2 linked regions of the Sus scrofa genome follow. The protein of the gene in region 2 purifies or fractionates together with the protein of the main gene of each other region. This does not show direct contact. Links are inferred from orthologs where the notes say so. Each region holds a gene or a part of one and is shown on either strand. Other genes may lie near its edges.

What was found. Proteins that work in one complex are often made in the same cells at the same time.
Region 1: the proteins of CD84 (region 2) and SH2D1B purify together in Homo sapiens (affinity purification with western blotting; 3 studies listed by BioGRID and IntAct, with this or other methods). This does not show direct contact. The link is inferred for Sus scrofa from reciprocal best matches to the Homo sapiens genes CD84 and SH2D1B.

Annotation. Positions count from the first base shown.
Region 1 is NC_010446.5:88,096,214-88,100,349, reverse strand, and holds the start of SH2D1B (SH2 domain-containing protein 1B), read right to left. Parts: upstream 2,817-4,136; 5' UTR 2,633-2,816; coding exon 2,499-2,632; intron 1-2,498. UniProt on the Homo sapiens protein: Cytoplasmic adapter regulating receptors of the signaling lymphocytic activation molecule (SLAM) family such as CD84, SLAMF1, LY9 and CD244. In SLAM signaling seems to cooperate with SH2D1A/SAP.
Region 2 is NC_010446.5:89,952,602-89,956,248, forward strand, and holds part of CD84 (SLAM family member 5), read left to right. Parts: intron 1-2,596; coding exon 2,597-2,848; intron 2,849-3,251; coding exon 3,252-3,371; coding exon of another isoform or gene 3,372-3,444; intron 3,445-3,647. UniProt on the Homo sapiens protein: Self-ligand receptor of the signaling lymphocytic activation molecule (SLAM) family.

The DNA.
Region 1 (4,136 bases), about 1.9 Mb from region 2:
GACGATGGAATACTACTTGGCCATAAAAAAAAATAATGCCATTTGCAGCAACATGTATGGAACTAGAGATTCTCATACTAAGTGAAGAAGTCAGAAAGAAAGACAAGTATCATATGATATCACTTATATGTGGAATCTAAAATATGGCACAAATGAACTTATCTACGAAACAGAAACAGACTCACAGATATAGAGAACAGACTTGTGCCAAGGCGGGGGTGGGGGGGAGGGAGTGAGATAGACAGGGAGTTTGGGGTTGGTAAATGTAAACTATTACATTTAGAATGGATAAGCAAGGAGGTCCTACTATATATAGCAGGGAACTATATCCAAACTCTTGGGACAGAACATGATGGAAGATAATAGTAGAAAAAGAATGTATGTGTGTGAGTGTGTGTGTGTGTGTGTGTGTGAGTGAGAGAGAGAGAGACTGGGTCACTATGCTGTACAGCAGAAATTGGCACATTATAAATCAACTATACCTTATTAAAAATAAGTAAACTGATAAAAAATATGTCAGGGTAATAAACAATTTTTAATATGCAAAAATTTCAATTATAGAAGCAGATATCCTTATTGAATTTTTCTAAAGTTTTTGCTAGTTTGTTTTTAGTTAAATCTAGACTTTAGAGGTATAAAATAATTTCAACTGCTAATAATAATAATTTCATATTTCCATTTCAATTTTTACATTTATTTTCTTTGATTTTCTAATATCTCCTGGAAAATGTTACATAGTAGGGCTTACAATGAACGTTTTTGTATATTCATGGTTTTAGGGGTTATTCTTCTGGTGATTCATATGGCCTTTGTTTAAGGAAGCATCTATCTAGCTTCATATGGCTAGAAGTGTTTAAGTGTGTGCATGCATGTGCGTGCATGAATGTGTTTAGTTGAGGGTGGATGGTGAATATCTAATATGTTCTAAGAAAATTTGAATGAGCTATGTAGTTTGTAACCTCTGACCTATTAACATGTAATTAAACTAATAATTTTCCTAACATGGAACCATTCTTGATTTCTTGGATTAGACCATGCTTGAGCATAGTGTATTTTCTCCTTTAATGTGTTACTGACTTCTATTTTGTTAGTAATTTACTGAAAATTGATAGTAAATGGGAGTTCCCATTGTGGCTCACCAGTAATTAATCTGACTTGTAACCATGAGGATGGGGGTTCGATTTCTGGCCTCACTCATTGGGTTAAGGATCCATTGTTGCCGTGAGCTATGGTGTAGGTCACAGATGCAGCTCAGATCCTGTGTTGCTATGGTGTAGGCTGGCTGTTGCAGCTCCGATTTGACCCCTAGCCTGGGAACTTCCATATGCCCTGTGTGTAGCCCTTAAAAAAAGACAGTTGATAGCAAATTAAATTGAAATTGGTCTGTAGTTTTCTTTCATGTGTGTGTCTTTTTTTCTTGAAAAAATATTTCTCCCTCCATGCATTGATATTGAAAAAAAAAATAAGTAAAAGGAAGATAAACAACTCAGGCTAAAAACGAGTAAAGCGTATGATCATGCAATTTTCAAAAGAGGAATTAGCAATGTTTAAAAAATATGTGAAAACACTCTCAACATCACTTTTAGCCTGAAAATTCAAACTGCTAGTGCCTTAGGGATGCCTTTTTTATATCTGTATTCCCAGTATCATAAAAAGAAAGAAACATATCACTGCCTATTCTGTTAGTAACGACAGTCGCTTTTGTCCTCAGAGCTTCAGAAGGACAGAAGCACATCCACAGAGACACTTGGGTTTTAATTCCTATACCAGGTAAATAAAAAGTTCAAGGTCCCCACAAGGAGAAGAATCCTTAAAGAAAGTCGATTCCCCCTGATATCTATTCACGATTGCTTTCTAAACTGGGCTAAACACGTTCTTTCAGCAGAGTAGTTCTGATGCTCTGGCTTGGAACCTCCTACTGAACTCAGCCTCCTTGGAAACACCAGATGAATTTTAACACAAGTTGCTTGAGAAATCCCAGGTCTCTCTTTCTTTCCCTACAAACTGGTGGCTTGCCTTGACAGACTACAAGCAGGATAAAAGGGAAGGAGGTAGGCCGAAGTCTTTTACAAATCTAATGGAATTTGAGAATCACCAGGGGAGCCAGCAGAATACATGCAAACACTTGGCTTCTCATTTTAAAATTTTATAAAAGGCACCTAGCCTTTTCCATCCTAAACAGACATTTGGAGGGAAGGACTTTCTTCACACGGCTACCTGCTCTGCCTCCCTGCTCCCCTCCCAGACCTCCTGTAGGCCTTCTCCTTGCCATGTCCCCCATCTCTACTGCTCCACAGAGCCTGCTCATGTGGCATTTGCACCCAGGAGAGAAGGGCAGGTGGAGGAGCCTAGACAGACCCATTTATCCCATCCCCTTCTGGCAGCGTCTAGCTAGTTCTCATGCTGCAAAGTCAGTGAAGGACAACTTCTTTCCTCCTTGGTGATCGGTCCTGCATTCAACATAAGGTTCCAAAAATGTGGATGAAGAGGTTACTCACGAGACACAGAGGCACAGGACTCCTGCCATGGACTCGCTGTCCCTTAACAGATAATTGCCATCCTCCCCTCCCTTGAGCAGCAAGGTCTCACAGTCTCTCTTGGACAGAGGGCCGTGGTAGTAAGGCAAATCCATGGGGGACTCTTGTATTCTTGAAATCCCGTCCCAAATCCAGGGATGGCTCTGAGGAGAAAAGTGGAGACAATTGGCCTAATGAGGCCTGTGGAAACACCTCGTGCTCCTCTGGCTGGTGGCAGTCAGATAAGTTTGCTCTGTGGGACTCAGATAATTTCACAAGATTCAGGAAATGACAGAGGTGGGGTGGTGAAATGGCCAAAACTTTTCTGCCTATAAGTGACCCAAGTGTGACTCATAGAAGTGGGTGAAACTACATTTGAATATATAGTGTAATCAGTGATGTTCATGGCTCAAGCCCAGTGCCAAAAACAAATTCTCCAGAACTGGGTAGTAGCCTTGGATATCATCCTAAATCACCATTTTTTGACTTTTTCTGGCTTATGGCATCCCTTCCAGGGATCACACCACTGCTTTTGCTGCAATGGTTGGGCTTTTTCTGCTGAAGCTGCCAGTGATTATGCTGTGCTTACCTCAGAGCAGGTGCTCAAAAAGTATTCAGGGGGAGTTCCCGTCGTGGCGCAGTGGTTAACGAATCCGACTAGGAACCATGAGGTTGCGGGTTCGGTCCCTGCCCTTGCTCAGGTCGCAGACGCGGCTCAGATCCTGCGTTGCTGTGGCTCTGGTGTAGGCTGGCAGCTACAGCTCCGATTAGACCCCTAGCCCGGGAACCTCCATATGCCACAAGAGCGGCCCAAGAAATGGCAAAAAAAAGACAAAAAAAAAAAAAAGTATTCAGACACTGAATAAATTCAGGTATGTCCAGGCATAATGGTACTATTGAGAAGGTAGGACACCCATGCATCAAATGACGTGAAAAATGGAAGACCACAATGGGAATAAAAGAATTTGGACACTGCGAGGGAATCTAGTCAGGGGGAGGATCCCTTGGCTAAGGCTCCTAGCTACTGGTGAACAAAGGTCTCTTTTTTTTTCTTTTCTTTCTTTCTTTTTTTTTTTTTTTTTTCTTTTGCTTTTTAGGATTGTGCCTGCTGCATGTGGAAGTTCTCGGGCTAGGGGTCAAATCGGAGCTGCAGCTACTGCAGGATCTGAGCCATGTCTGTGACCTACACTACAGCTCACAGCAATGCCAGATCCTTAACCCACTAAGCAAGGCCAAGGATTGAACCCTCATACTCATGGATACTAGCTGGGTTCATAATCCTCTGAGCCACAATGGGAACTCTCAACAAAGGCCATTTTTAACATCCTCTAGCATTGTGCATTTTGGGGAAGGAGCTGGAGCAGGTGGGAGGGGCATCTGGATATGCAAAATTAGTGCAAGAATGCTTCTTCAGGTGGAAGAAAAGAGTATATTAGGCTTGGGTTTGAATAGCCTCAGGTCCTTTGAATTTTCCATCCTGTGAGACAGCAGTGATGTGTATTTATGAAGAAAGTCTATCCGGTTAGGAACACTTAGCCTGTGTAGATGCGAAACCTGGCATGGGTAAGAAAACCTCTTTTTTTCTGCTGAGCTTTTTCTACTTAGTCAACTGATATTCTT
Region 2 (3,647 bases):
AGGTTCCTTCCTTTGATCCCTCCCTCACAGAGCAATAGTGGGAGGAACAAACCATGTCACAGCAGCTTTGCCAAGAGTGAACTAAACTTAACTCGGAAGGTGGTTCTTTTCCTATCTCCTGGTAAAAATCTTTCCTTCTCCAGCTTCAGATCTAGCTATTCCCTCAACTTATATATAATTGTTTTTTGGTAAATTTTACTACCTACAACTTCTATAGTTTACATTTTGATTGCTTTAGTAAAAATATTTTTTAAAGTAAACCTTTAGGGAGTTCCCGTCATGGCGCAGAGGAAACAAATCGGACTAGGAACCATGAGGTTGCAGGTTCCATCCCTGGCTGCGCTCAGTTGATTAAGGATCTGGTGTTGCTGTGAGCTGTGGTGTAGGTCACAGACGCAGCTCAGATCTGGCATTGCTGTGGCTCTGGTGTAGGCTGGCAGCTATAGCTCTGGTTTGACCCCTAGCCTGGGAACCTCCATATGCCTCAAGTGCGGCCCTAAAAAAAATTTTTTAATTTTTTTTAATTTAAAAAAATAAACTTTTAAAGAGGTTTTAACTTTTCACCTTGAGCACGTTAACACAAAACAAGCCAGAAAACTTAAAGAAAAGACACATTCACTAGAAAACAGAGCCCCTCAAAAAGGTTTAAAGATTGTTCATTGCAGTAATATGCTGATAAATGTTCAACTGTTCAACTGGTTTTTTGGGGGTTTTTTGTTTTGTTTTGTTTAACTTTATGGCTGCACCCAAAGCACATGGAAGTTCCCGAGTCAGGCACTGAATCCGAGTCACAGTCACCTACGCCATAGCTGCAGCAACTCTGGATCCTTTAACCCACTGCACTGGGCTGGGGTTCAGACCCTCACCTCCACCTCGACGCAGGCTGCTGCAGTCGGATTCTTAACCCACTGTACCACAGCAGGAACTCCTCAACTAGTTCTTAATGATGTGTGTGCGCATGTGTACACATTATAAATTTTATTGACATAAAGATGATGTGGCACACAATTGCACAAGTGATAATAAACAATAGTCTTTATTGTAAATTCCATTTGTTCTCACAGAATGAGCCAACTGTTCTGACTGAATGCTTTCACTGGTTTTTGCTGAGCATTTATGTCCCTAGCCAGTGTATGGTTACGACTGATGAATGAACCAACATAAGGAATGGATAAATGCAACCAATGTGAATATTGATTAACATTTTCATTTAAGTTCACTAATTAGAAAAAAGTGATTCAATGAAGATATGTATATTGGAATTTCATTTCTTCATCCATGATGTGAGCAACTCCTTTGCTGAACTGGATAATGATTTTCAAACACTGGAAGAATATTTCTGATTTTTCTGTGTGCTAGTCCCAATGTAATGGCTACAGACAGGATGCACTGTTTAGTTTAATCTGCTTTAGTACCCTTTCCTCCACTGTTTTCTTTTTTGTTGTTGTTGGTGGTGGTGGTGGTGGTGTTTTCTGGGTTTATTCCTCCTTGTTCCTTGTTCCAAGTAAACGTAGGCCTATTTCACTCCACATCCATGGCCTGCACACTTTCTTCCACCAGCTCCAGGGTCAGCGGCATCACTGTCTGGGACAGGACAGCTGTGGTCCCAGGGGCAAAGCGATACTGGCTGGATCTGTTGTTCTCTCCTCCCTTAGCTCCAAATGGTCCTCTCTGAGTTTTGACCTCTCCATGCAGTCCAAGCTTTGGCATTGACAGTGGTCTGTTGGAATTGCACTTCTCCACCCTCACCCCACTGGCTCCTCCTTCTGCACTCAGTCATCACCTCCAAAATGCTTTTCCTGACCTCCTGATTAGGCCAGGGTATCTCTGCGTTTCCTCAGCTCTCCAGCTTCCCACCAATGCACTGCGGAGTGGGGGACAGGTGTCGCTCACCGTCATGTTCGGCTGGAACCAATCTAGCACTGCCAGGGCGCATCTTGGCCCGAGCCTAGGGCCATGAAGGGCAGACAGCTGTAGGACCCATGGGGGTGCACGCTGTAGAGCTGCGGTCCTGTGAAGTCTACACCGCCCACGATCAGCGACCCGCCCACCATCAGCGACCCGCCCACCATCAGCGACGCGACGCGCCCACGTGGCCGTGGTGCCATTTCCGCAAGTGGGCGCAGTCAGCCAAACAAACCAGGACCCAAGTCCTTCCCCTCCACGTCACGGTCCCTGCACCCGAGCCCCACCCCTTCTCGTGGTCAAGAGCCCCGTGACTGACCTCCTCCACTGTTTTCTTAAGTCTGGAGCAGAAACTAAGCAGTAAATCATGCCCTAGTTTGTTGCATTTGCCAATTTCTCTGGTGTAAATACTCCCACCCTGGCCGATTTTAAGACCCACAGTGTTGGAAAGACTTTGTACATCATTACAAAGGATGTACACAGTAGACAGAAATAACCTCTAGAGCACAGACAATAGTAAAGTGTCCCCCCAAATTAGAAAATGATTAGTTTTGAGTCTCTATTGCCATTGTGTTTTAATATACTTTATTTCATTGTAAGTTTTTCACAACATCATGAAAATTTTCCACACGTGGTTACAGGCCAGCTCCAGCTTTAGCTTACCCCTTGTCCATGTATGTTCCCCTCACAGGTCGGCTTGGGAAGCCAAAAATTACTCGGAGTTTAATGACATCTATGAATGGCACCTGTAATGTCACACTGACATGCTCTGTGGAGAAAGAAGAAAAGAATGTGACATACAGTTGGAGTCACCTGGGCAGAGAGGGCAATGTCCTTCAAATCTTCCAGACCCCTGACAACCAACACCTGACTTACACATGTACAGCCTGGAACCCTGTCAGCAACAATTCTGACTCCATCTCTGCCCAGCAGCTCTGTGCAGGTAACCAGCTGTGTCCATCTCTCCCAGAGCCTCAGAAATCACCCTGACCCACTGCAAGGCTTGAATCTGGGCCTTGTTCTCCAGAGGAAGGTGTCTCCCTTATGCCAGGCTTGAACCCGGGGTGGGGGTGGGAGGGCTTCTCCTCCTGAAAGCTCTGGAAAAGAGTTCAAAGCCTTCTGGGTAATGCCAGGCATTCCAGGGTGTTCTAAGGCAGCCCCCTGCTCGACTCCCTGATTCGGTTTCTGATCTTATTTTTAAGAGCAGAAAGCACAATTTCCTCGGTGTATTGGCACACCCCTGGAGGGCACCCAGTATGGATAGTGACCCTGAGTGTGGACAAGCTTGCCCAGCCTCATGGGCCTCTTCCCTGTGAGTCACATTTCATTGCATCTTCTATTTCCAGACATCGCAGTGGGCCTCCAGACTCGCCACCCTGGGCTGCTGAGTGGGCTGGCTGTGCTCTCTGTGTTTATAATCATCATACCTTCAGTGATTTTGTGTCTTATGTACAAGAGAGGACAAGGTAGGATCTTCTCAGAAGGTAAAAAGTGGAAAGGCACCTTCCTTCTTCCTGGGACTGAAGTCATTTATCCAAGGTGGGTGGGCTGGAAATGTCCTTTGTTTCAGGGAATCAGCCTTCCTAACAGTCCCCACCGCACCACCTCACCATCTCCCAGAGAGATGGCCCTGGGGTCTGTATAATGTTACACTGAATGGTCTTCAAAATCTATTGCTGGGGGATTTCCTCCTGTGGCTCAGCAGGTTAAAGACCTGACGTGTTCTCCCAGATGATGCAGGT